Canis lupus familiaris: one gene and its partners. The protein of the gene in region 2 interacts with the protein of the main gene of each other region in a pairwise test. Links are inferred from orthologs where the notes say so. Each region holds a gene or a part of one and is shown on either strand. Other genes may lie near its edges. The genes, in order: DAB1, VENTX and TBX15.

What was found.
Region 1: the proteins of VENTX (region 2) and DAB1 interact in binary tests that used the Homo sapiens proteins (3 or more experiments, as listed by UniProt). The two-hybrid records come from large-scale screens. The link is inferred for Canis lupus familiaris from reciprocal best matches to the Homo sapiens genes VENTX and DAB1.
Region 3: the proteins of VENTX (region 2) and TBX15 interact in binary tests that used the Homo sapiens proteins (3 or more experiments, as listed by UniProt). The two-hybrid records come from large-scale screens. The link is inferred for Canis lupus familiaris from reciprocal best matches to the Homo sapiens genes VENTX and TBX15.

What each region holds. Positions count from the first base shown.
Region 1 is NC_049226.1:52,848,255-52,851,901, forward strand, and holds part of DAB1 (disabled homolog 1), read left to right. Parts: intron 1-657; coding exon 658-1,206; intron 1,207-3,647. UniProt on the Homo sapiens protein: Signaling adapter of the reelin-mediated signaling pathway, which regulates the migration and differentiation of postmitotic neurons during brain development.
Region 2 is NC_049249.1:41,347,757-41,351,980, forward strand, and holds the start of VENTX (homeobox protein VENTX), read left to right. Parts: upstream 1-1,357; coding exon 1,358-1,592; intron 1,593-3,158; coding exon 3,159-3,319; intron 3,320-3,852; coding exon 3,853-4,224. UniProt on the Homo sapiens protein: May be involved in ventralization.
Region 3 is NC_049238.1:56,654,914-56,658,560, forward strand, and holds part of TBX15 (T-box transcription factor TBX15), read right to left. Parts: intron 1,207-3,647; coding exon 1,105-1,206; intron 1-1,104. UniProt on the Homo sapiens protein: Probable transcriptional regulator involved in the development of the skeleton of the limb, vertebral column and head. Acts by controlling the number of mesenchymal precursor cells and chondrocytes.

The DNA of each region.
Region 1 (3,647 bases), on a different chromosome or scaffold from region 2:
TTATCTTTAAACCAAGCCCATGAGGCAGACAGTATTTTTTGCCCATTTCACAGATGAGGAGAGAGAGCCCGAGAGAGCTTGTGGAGCTCTCCCTAAACTCCGTAGATAAGAAGCAGAAGAACTCCAAATTTTAACCTAGACCTCAACATCCCCGATACTCTGATTCTTCTTCCCTCAGCACATGTTTTCCATGCTGAAAAGGAAGATCTTATAACCTGGCTTTCTAACCAAGAGCTTGAGGTTTAGAAAGTTTAAGTGTTTGGTCTAGCCAGAAGGGGAGGCAAGATTCAAACCCAAATGTACCCGATGTCTAGTACTCTACCTTTTCCACTGAGACACACCAGCGCCTGAGGCTGTGTGGAGTCAGAAACCTTTAATTATAGCAATATTATCATTATCTCCCAAACACCTGCCCGGCTTGCTCGCTCACTGCATTCTAGTTTTGCTTATGAGTCCCCTTCTTAGGTTTCTCCAGACCGTGGCTCTGGAAGGAACACTCCATTGAAAGCCAGAACTTTCATCTTACTCATCTTTGTGGCCCGGGTCTCTAGCACAGAGCCTGGAACGTAACAACTGCTCAGTATCTTTCTGCCGATCACCTGAATCCATGAATTATTCTTTCCCAGGGTACATGACTCATCTTTCTCACCCTTCCAGGTTATGTTGCAATGGGCGCCGTCCTCCCATCCTTCTGGGGCCAGCAGCCCCTCGTCCAACAGCAGATCGCCATGGGTGCTCAGCCACCAGTCGCTCAGGTGATGCCGGGGGCTCAGCCCATCGCATGGGGCCAGCCGGGTCTCTTCCCTGCCACTCAGCAGCCCTGGCCAACTGTAGCCGGGCAGTTTCCGCCAGCCGCCTTCATGCCCACACAAACTGTTATGCCTTTGCCAGCCGCCATGTTCCAAGGTCCCCTCACCCCCCTTGCAACCGTCCCAACCACGGGTGACTCCACCAGGTCAAGTCCACAGACCGAGAAGCCCAGACAGAAAATGGGGAAAGAAATGTTTAAGGATTTCCAGATGGCCCAGCCGCCACCCGTGCCCTCCCGCAAACCCGACCAACCCTCCCTCACCTGTACCTCAGAGGCCTTCTCCAGTTACTTCAACAAAGTCGGGGTGGCACAGGATACAGATGACTGTGACGACTTTGACATCTCCCAGTTGAATTTGACCCCTGTGACTTCTACCACACCATCAACCAACTCACGTGAGTGCCCTTCTTGGGAGACCTAACTCCAATGAGAGCGATGCCTTGTTTCTGGAGTCACAGAACTCATCTCAGTTCACATTCAGCAGGCATCTTGGTTTATATGACTACTACTAATAATAGCTACCAGTTATGAGGTGCCAATTATACATATCTACCTCGTAACCATTGTTTTCATACTTTTATACTCATAACAATGCTTATTACAGGTTTTGTTAGACCTGTCTGACCAATAATGAGAGTGAGGTTCAAGGACAACGAGAGTAGTTATTTTCCTACCAGTCACTCTGCTTCTAATGTTTTTGTTGATCTGCTCATCTATCCATCCATTCATTCATTATCCCTCCTTATGACACAGATTTTGGTACGGCTTGTTGAAATGGAAATGAATAGTGAATATGAATTTTAAAAGTCTGGGAAATAAGGACAAAAATTAGAGTAGAAAACTAAAATCAAGAGAAAACTTACGGGAAAGAAAGAGCAGCCATAAGATCTCATCCAGCTGGTTTAGTTGAAGCCAGATTTTGGCTCAGGGCTTTGGGTCGTCAAAGAGAAAAAAATGGTAGTGAAGCAGAAATCTCTAGACTGGGAACCTAGAGAGCAGATTTATCACTTCCTAGTTTTGTGCCTATCGGCAAGTCATTTTTGTGAGCCTCAATTTCCTCATCTATCTTAGCCTAAGAGAGATTACAAGGATCAGTGGTACATGTACTGAAACATTGTATACATCACAAATTTTAAGGTATTTTTGTCACCATTATGAATGCATATTGAATAGTTCTGTGTCAAATCCCTGGACCAGAGTTCCAACCTTTGCTCTTCTACCACAAGCTGTGTCTTTGGCCATGTGTGTGACTTTCTTAACCCCAGCTGTGTCATGGGTGAAATGCATTGAGTTGGCTTGGATGATGAGGAGTGTACTTCCTTCTAGTTCAGGCACTCAGTGATTCTTTCCAGATCACTTTTCTACTGTAAGCATCCAAAAAGCCATGACCATGCAGCCAATCAGAATCTAGATACACTTGAGCACACATATGCTCAGAAAAGTGACTGGTAATTCAGCCCATGCCTTTGACAATTGATAGGGAAAAGCAAAAGTCTCATGGAACAATGAGTTTGGCGTTTTCATTACTGTCACAGATGATAGGGATCACTGCTTGGCCAATAGTGAGAATTGTCAAAAAATCTAATGTTAACACAATTAGGTGGTGTTATTTCATCCAGGTTCAGAAGGCAGTTATGAAAATGAATGCCTTTTATGTGTATAAACAACCTACTTCTACTCAGGCCATGTGATCTCCATATGAGGGCATCTCTATTAGCTCCACGTCACAGGGTTTCAGTGAAAAATAATGAATAAAAAATGAAATGCTGGGGGAATGAGAGCCATGCATAAATAAGCAAGCATCTTTTGAAAGCAAGTGTCTCTCTTTCAATGGACTTGCATGCCAGCTATAAATAAAAGGGAAGTTTCAGTTCTTTGAGGACAGGACATATGTCCTAATCACCCGTCTACTTCTTCTAATGCTAGCATAGCATCTAGCGTGTGGGAGACATTTGGGAAAAATCGTAGAGATTGAAATGAACAGAACAAAGGCCATTCAGCTGTGGCTGTGTTTTACAACCTGGGCTTTATTGATATTTGGGGCCAGATAATTCTTTGTTGTGGGGTGTGTGTTGTGCTTATAGGATGATGAGCAGCATCCCTGCCTCCACCCACTAGATGCCAGAAATACATGTCCTGTCCCCTGAGTCTTTATAGTCAGAAATGACCCAAGAAAAAAAGAAAAAAAAAAAAGAAATGACCCAAGATACTGTGAAATGTCTCCTAGGATTTAAATTGCACCATTAAAGAACCACTCTTTTAGATTATTCAGGTATTCTAGAAGAGCCTTCTAAAGGCTAAGACACTTACATAAATGAACCTCTAATTATGCTTCCAAATGACTTCATCTGATAAGTAGGACCGGTACACCTCTCAGACTGGCACCTCAGCCTGTGTTCTCGGCCTCTAGTAAGCAATAAGCCACTTCAAACACAATTTGGAATCCAGTTACGCCAACATTTATTCATTAGCTGTTGGAAATCAGGGTGTTCTCACTTAAACCTGCTAGAACTAGTCTGTTCCATAATCATCTCATAAAACAGACTTCCTTTTAAATTAAAAAAAATAATGTTCTATTGTAAAGAAAATGAGTAAAAACAGTAATTATATCCTTCTATCCATGAGCATCACCTTCAGAATGTTTTGAGTGGAGTTTTTTCATCAGTTGGAACAAAAATCTACGTCAAATTGACATAGACCTCACAGCTGGCCCGACAGTGTAGACAGAGCTGTATTAAATCCCAACACTCCTATTCCGTGGTGCTGGTGACCCTGAGAAAGTCCCTTCACCTTTCAGGGCTGCAGTTTCTTCATCAGGAAAGAAAAATAGGTCCCA
Region 2 (4,224 bases):
GGTGGGTGCAGGTGGGACCAGGACGCAGAGTCCCGGCACCTGTCGTGTCCACCGGGAGGGCGCCCCTGGAGCCGCGCACAGGACGGGGGGTCCGCAGTGCTGACCCCATCCCCGGTCCGAGAGCCGCGCAGCCCCCACCAGCTGGGCCTCGGTCCCCAGGGGCAGGACGGCGTCCGAGAGCAGGGGCCTCTCCGTCCAGGTCCAGGCCAGCACCGCCGCCCGGGACGCGGCCACCGGCGGACCACTGCGCTGACTCGGAGGCGTCAGGCCCCCTGACCCTTCCCGGCGGGGTCAGCGCCGCCGTTCCCGCTGTGCCCGCCGGAGGGCGGCCGGGGGTGTTAATCCGGGCCCAGCCGGAGGGGCCTTTGATCCCACGGTCCCGCCCAGGCTGGCGCCAGCGCCCCCAGGAGTCGGCCGGTGGGCTAGGGCCACCACACCCAGGGGGCGGGCGTGGGGGGGTGGGGGCTCCGGGCTGCCCCAGGTCACCCTGGACGCCGAAGGCGCTGGCCCTCGGTCCCGTCCTGCAGAAAGTGGTGGTGGCGAGCAGCGGAGGTGGGAGGGGGCTGGGTCCCCGGAGAGAGGACAGGCCTTGAACCCGGGCTGCCGCGTCCCTGGCGGCTCTGGGCCCCGCTGGGCAGTGGGGCGGCCCTTCTCGGCAGCACCGGGCTGCTCCATCCCTCCCGCTGGGTCGTCCGGGAGCAGCAGGGCGGGGCCGCACTCCTGAGGGCAGACACCCCTCCTTCCTGCCACTGCAGAGTGGAGGCGGGGGTGGGGGCGCCGAGTACCGTCTGAGAGGGAAGGGCCGGTGGGTGCTCCCCGGGCAGCAGCACCCACCCTGCCCTACGTTCCTCCCCCCGCCGGACAGCCTGAGGCAGCGGCACCTGCTCTGGGAGCCCCCACCCCCGCCGGTGATGCTGCTCCCCCTCCGGGAAGCATGCCCTCCCTCAGGTGGGCACACCTGCCGCCTTCGGCACCGCAGACCCCGCGGGCTGGAGAGGAGGCGGCTCCTCACCCCGAAGGACAAGCCTCCAGCTTGGGTGCTCAGCTGGGAGGGGCCACCCGGTGGGGGTGGGGGATGAAAGGACGTGACCAGCCTCCGCCCGGGCTCAGCCCCGCCCCGCCGCAGACATCTCGGAGCCGGGGGAGGTGTGAATGGCCTCCTTTGTGCCTCTGAATCGAAGGCAATTAGGTGCTACTTATCTGGGGGTGGGCGAGGCTCTGAGCGGCTACGCAGGCCGGCCTCCCACCCGCCTCCTCCGGAGCTTATAAACGCTAAGGCGGCGGACGACCTGGTGCCTTAGCCGCCGTCGGTGCTGCGGGGACCCTGTGCGTCACCCCCTCTGTCCTGTGAGCAGCCATGTCTCCGTCCCCTCCCCTGCCCAGCGGCCGCGGGCCGTCCAGCTTCGGCTCGGTGGACTGGCTTTCCCAGAGCAGCCGCGGGGGGCCGTCACCGCCCTCCAGGCCCGCTGAAGCCCCTCGGGGGGGTCCCTCCGCTCCCGCCAGGGGGTGCAGCAGCGGGGAGCCCCTGCACGGTGCGGGCGTGGAGGAGGCCAAGTCTTCAGAAGCGTGTGCGCCCCGGACGCCCACGGCTGGTAAGGCTGGGGCGGGGGGTGCCTCCCTTCGCAGATGGGAGCCGGGAGGGTTGGGGGGAGGCCTGGACTACAAAGCCACGGGGGCGGGGTCTCCTGTCTTTAGGCCCCCTGGGGCTCCCCACCCCCACGTCCTGGAAGGGCTGGCGTGTGGCCCTGAGCCGTGACACGGTCATTTCGCACCGTGGGGGACCCGGGCTTCCGGCGTGCGGTCGGCCGTCGGGGCTGGACACGCACGTCCTGAAGCTCACAGAGCCCGCCCACTGGGCGCCCAGGCCTCGGGACTCCGGCCCGTTGGCGGTGCACCGGCGGCCCTGCGGGGTGGCTCGGGGCGCCCTGCTGTCTGCACCTGGGAGCTCCGGGCCTCGGCTGCAGGGCGTCCCCCTGACCCCTTGCCGTTCACTGCGGAGCGTTTCTCGGTCTTTGTGACGTAATCATTGCTTTTAGGTTTAAAGCCCTGCGTGGTCAGGGCAGCCCGGGTGGCTCAGGGGTTTGGCGCCGCCTTCGGCCCAGGGTGTGATCCTAAAGTCCCGGGATCGGGTCCCACGTCAGGCTCCCCTCATGGAGCCTGCTTCTCCCTCTGCCTGTGCCTCTGCCTCTGTCTCTCTCTCTGTGTCTCTCGTGAACAGATGGATAGGATCTTAAAAAAAAAAAAAAAAAAAGCCCTATGTGATCAAAAGTGGGATTGATGTTATCTGTTAAATTCATTTTTTTTAAGATTTATTTATTTATTCATGAGAGACAGGCAGAGGGAGAAGCAGGCTCCATGCAGGGAGCCCGATGCGATCTCGATCCCAATTCCGGGATCGCGATCTGAGCCAAAGGCAGGCGCCCCTGTTAAGTTCATTTTTGAACGAGTTTGATCTTAGGGGAAAATGCTATACTTCAATGAAGTTAAATTCTACGTTTATTCTCTGCAACCAGTGCCCCCTCCCCAACAAAACCCAGCCAGTCATCCCTGCGCCCCGACCCCTTACACCCTGCCCCCGCCCCCTCCGAAGCAAGGGTCGCTCCTCTGGTCCCCTGCCTGCTTCCAGGGAAGTGTTAAAGTCATTGGTAAGCTCTGCTCCCCCCACACCAGCACTAGAGCCCGTTGGCATTTGGGTGAGGCCCGACCAGGTAGCCGAGCTCCGCACACCAGCGCTCGCGCCTCCCGCCGCCTCCCGGCGGACACACGGGCGCCGGGGGACACTGCTTGAGTGTCTGACTCTTGGTTTCGGCCCAGATCCTGATCCCGGGGTCGGGCTCCAAGCTCAGCAGGGAGTCTGCCGGACGCCCCAAGGGAAGGAAATCTTAAATCAATAAAAAAGGACTAGACGCAGACTTGCCAGAGCTTCACGTTGGGGGCGGGCAGCCTGGGGGCACCGCCGTCCTGGGCGAAACTGCTGGGGGGCTGCAGAGCTGTTCGCCAGGCGCCCTCCTCGCCCTGACCCCAGCCCACACTCCAGCCGGCAGAGGAGGGGCCTGCGCCCTGACGCACTGGGTGCTGAGGCCCCTCTATCCCGCGTGGGCCGACGGCTGGGCTGATGGCGTTTGATGGCGTTTGATGGCGTTTCCGTCCTCCCTCAGGGTGGGGCAGGGACGGGGACGGCCTGCGGGTGCCCCGCGTGCGCACGGCCTTCACCGCAGAGCAGCTCAGCACCCTGGAGAGCGCCTTCCGGCGGCGCCGCTACCTGGGCCCCCTGGAGCGCCGGCGCCTGGCCCGTGACATGCGGCTCTCTGAGGTGCAGGTGAGCCTCTCGGGGCTGCAGGCGAGGTTTGGGGGTGCAGGTGAGGCTCTCGGGGCTGCAGGCGAGGCTCTCGGAGCTGGAGGTGAGGCTCCGGGCGGCAGGTGAGGCTCGGGGTTGTAGGCAAGTCTCTCAGGCTGCAGGCGAGGCTCAGGGGTGCAGGTGAGGCTCAGGGGTGCAGGTGAGGCTCTCAGGGCTGCAGGTGAGGCTCTTGGAGGTGCAGGTGAAGTTCAGGGCTGCAGGTGAGGTTCGGGGCTGCAGGCGAGGCTCTCCAGGGGTGCAGGTGAGTTTCTTGGGGTGCAGGCAAGGTTCTTGGGGTGCAAGCAAGGCTTGGGGCTGCAGGCGAGGCTCTCGGGGGTTACAGGTGAGGCTCAGGGGTGCAGGCGAGGCTCTCGGGGCTGCAGGTGAGGTTCTCGGGGGTGCAGGTGAGGCTTTTGGGGGTGCAGGCCAGGCTCTCCGGGGGTGCAGGTGAGGGGGGCCGGGCCTGGTGGGGGGCAGCTGTTCCCGTCCCTGCTCTGATGGAGGTTTCCCCGCAGATAAAAACCTGGTTTCAGAATCGCCGGATGAAACACAAACGCCAACTGCAGGACTCGCAGCTGAGCAGCCCCTTCCCCGGGGGGCTCCACCCTCCAGTGACCTTCTGCCCTCCGCCCCCTGCCCTGCGCAGGCCACTGCGGCTGCTGTGTCCTTGGGCGCCCCCACTGGGGCCTCCAGCTCTGGGGCAGCCCCCTGGCCCCTTCTGGGATCTCTGCCGGGTGGATCGAGCCTCCGTGGCCTTGGCGTGGGCCTCGTGCAGCAGACAGCCTCCCACGTGCTGCCTCCCGGACCCGGGGGGCCAGGAGCTGGGCCCGGCCTTGGCCTTGTCCGGGGTGCCCCGGGGCCTGTGTGCCCTGCCCCAGACCGGGGAT
Region 3 (3,647 bases), on a different chromosome or scaffold from region 2:
CATCCACATTCTCCCACAAAGCCACTGGAAGTGATATGATGTTAGTAGCAAAGGAGGTCAGTTTTCTGGAGTTTGTCAATTGCCCTGCAGTTCTAAAGAGAGTTCTCTATGGATTTGTCACCTCCTTGCTTCTCACTAACAAAGAACCACACAGGATCTGGATGCTAGCAAACAGAGGCACTCAGTCCAAATCACAAGATCCTCTAAAATTGATTGGAAGCATCTCTTGTCCTAAGTCCTGCATCCAGATCACTTCTCTCTTAATCAGCTCTCTCCCTCTGCCATACTAGTGCTGGCATTTCCCATTCATTCATTCATTCATTCATTCATCTCTCCCCTCCTAATTCATAGAGCTAGCACCAAGTTCTCAAATATTTCAAGAATAAGACATGATTCACTGATCTGATTGAAATCTCAAGAGATTGGTTAAGCCACAACTTGTTTCAAATAAGACTGATGTATAACCCATCCAAGAGACATAGACATTGTGTTGGACACTTACTATAATGACTTTGAAGGAAAGTTATTTAACAACTCACTCACAACCCATATTGATAAGCAATAATTCTGCTTCACTAAGTGTCCTTCTTGAAATCTTACCCAATTCTCCTCTTCTTCCCTTCCATCATCCACAAGATAATCCATCAGTTATATGATTGAATATACTGCACTGGTCCACTTCTCCTCTGCCTCTCCAAAATAAATCATCTCAACTCACTTAGCATTTCATAAACCAAATCATTCAATGTGTTAATCACTTTCAATGTGAACTGAATTAACTTTAGACTTAATCCATAAAGTCTAAATCCATTGATTTTTGCAACCCTGACAGACACTATACAATCCCACTCTCTACAGAGATGGGGAGGGTTCCATACCAAATGATTACTAAGTCCTGATTTCCAACCATGAGTGACTACTTCCTACATGATGCTTTGCTACAAGCTATTGGTACTTCCTCCATCCTTGTTCCCTATATAGTATACGATACAGTGCATTGTTAAAATACTTCATCTAAGGAGTTTAAAGAACTGTCTTGGAATGATAATGGAATTACCTTGGAATGGTAATGTCCACAATTCCACATCCCAGAGTCATCATTACCTGTATCTTTTATTGTCCACAGGCACAATGTCCATTGCTATGTAATACTGCTGGTGTGGATCCAGGCCAGTGATTTTCACTCTCATGGCAGGAAACATCCTCCTATAAAGGGGAATAGGCAGTAAGCTCAACAATCACAGAGGGAGAAGGAGCAGGAGTAAAGGCTTGGAGAGCTTCTTCTTATGAAGAATGATAAGCAAACCAAAGTCCAGTTCCTCCAATTCTCAAAGTTGCCTGCTTTTTTACACTTTGGAAATTATTACTATAAAATATGCTGAGGACTCACTGAAATGGCACCTCTTCTTGCTGCTTTAAGGATCTTCTCTTTATCTTTGGAATTTGCAAGTTTCACTATTAAATGTCGAGGTGTTGAGCGGCTTTTATTGATTTGGGGGGGGGGTCTCTCTATTTCCTGAATCTAAATGCCTGTTTCCCTTCCCAAATTAGGAAAGTTCTCAGCTATGATTTGTTCAAATACATATTCTGGACCTCTGTCCCTTTCAGTGCCCTCGGGAACCCCAATTAACCTTAGATTTTTCCTTCTGAGGCTGTCATTTATTTCCCTTAACCTATCCTCATGATCTTTTAATTGTTTTTCTCTTTTTTCCTCAGTTTCCCTCCTTGCCATCAACTTGTCTTCTATATCACTCACTCGTTCTACCTCGTTAACCCTTGTCGTTAGGACCTCTAGTTTGGATTGCATCTCATTTAATTGATTTTTAATTTCTGCCTGATTGGATCTAAATTCTGCAGTCATGAAGTCTCTTGAATCCTTTATGCTTTTTCTAGAGCCACCAGTAGCTTTATAATTGTGCTTCTGAATTGGCTTTCTGACATTAAATTGTAATCCAAATTTTGTAACTCTGTGGGAGAGAGGACTGTTTCTGATTCTTTCTTTTGAGGTGAGTTTTTCCTTCTAGTCATTTTGCTCAGTGCAGAGTGGAAATGGCACCTCTTCTTAACTTAAATTGACCTACTTGATGACTCACACACTTCCAAGAGCTCCTACCATGCCCTGATTTATATTATTAACCTTTAATGTGATTAGATTGATAATGTATGTGTATTTATACATACATTTCCTATCAGATTATAATATTCTTGAAAATGCTTACACTCTTACACTTAACATATTTGAGTAACTTATGTTCTTATGACTCAAGTAGCTTATCACAGTTGATTGTAGGTGATGATGAAATATTTTTGATTGGTTGAGTCTATTTAAAAGTAGTCTCTCAAGAAAAGAAGAAAAAAGGAAGAGACTATCAATCTCCAAAGTACCAACAAAGTTGCAGGGTTTTTTAAGCATAAAACTGTAGAAAAATTTCTGCAAGTTCTCAGGCTGTCAACATATGTGTCAGAAGAGGACCCTGTGGAATAAGGAGCGAATACCAAATGAATTCTAGTGGCCTCTGGGCAATACCTTGTTTCTACCACAATGGCTTGTTAAACTTGCCAAAGCAAGCGAGGTCAGGATACGGCACTTTACAACTACTCTCATAATTGAAGAGGAGGAGAGAGAGCAACCCAGAAGAGTATTGAGTTTCAAGGGTCTAGAATAAAATTCTCCATTTTTCTTTAACCATAAAAAAGTAGAAAAACATCAAGCTCTTTTGTATGTCATTCATTTTGGAGTCAGACATAAAAAGTGCTCAGTTCAAAAATTTGGATTGCATGAATGTGTTCTAGGGTACTTGTACACAAAATGCTGCATTAAGCTTAACCATCTGGGGCCAGTTAGTTGAGCTGGGCAGGGCACAGTGCTAATGAGGTCAAGGTCACAGGCTTGATCCACATACAGCCTAATTGGCTTTGCTCCATTTCACGGCCATAGACCATACTCTGACCCCAGACAGCCATCTTGCATATGTGCCCTAGTTGTTTACACATGGGGCTTTCTGTGCTAGTCACACACTGCATTGCTCACTGGAAGCAACTCAACATGCAAATGTCCTGTGGTAGTAGGTTAGTGGCATAATCATATCCAGGTGGCGAGTGGGGGGGAACACAAAAACTTAATGGGAATGATGGCTAATTCTTAAATATTACCAAATAATAATATACAACCATTCCTTCTTTCCTACTTTATAACTTCTCAGAAGCTTCTATTGGTATATAATTCTGGATATTCTACCTCTAGCCTCACAAGTTTAATTACAAAGCCTTATATTTTTGTCTTATGGTGAGATAATGAAATTCAATGGTGGATTTCTCATAATGATTAAATCTAGCATTCACTATAGGTTAGGCACTAGAATCCACATTAATTCTTTCCAAAAACTTGGGAACATTGGTCTATATATATTTACATTTAAACCAGTAATTCCTTTCTTAATAACAATGACTTATGACTGCCTTGTATTTATAAATGGTTGGAGAATACCTTAACAGGGATAGAGAGAAAGTCCTCTCACTTGCTATCTGAGGTAATAAAATGTGGTTCCTCTCAGCTATCTACATAGGATGTGTTACACTGCAAGAGATGAATTTCTTTCCTTCATGATTCCAAGAAAAAAGGTTAGATGTTTTTAAATTCAATACCT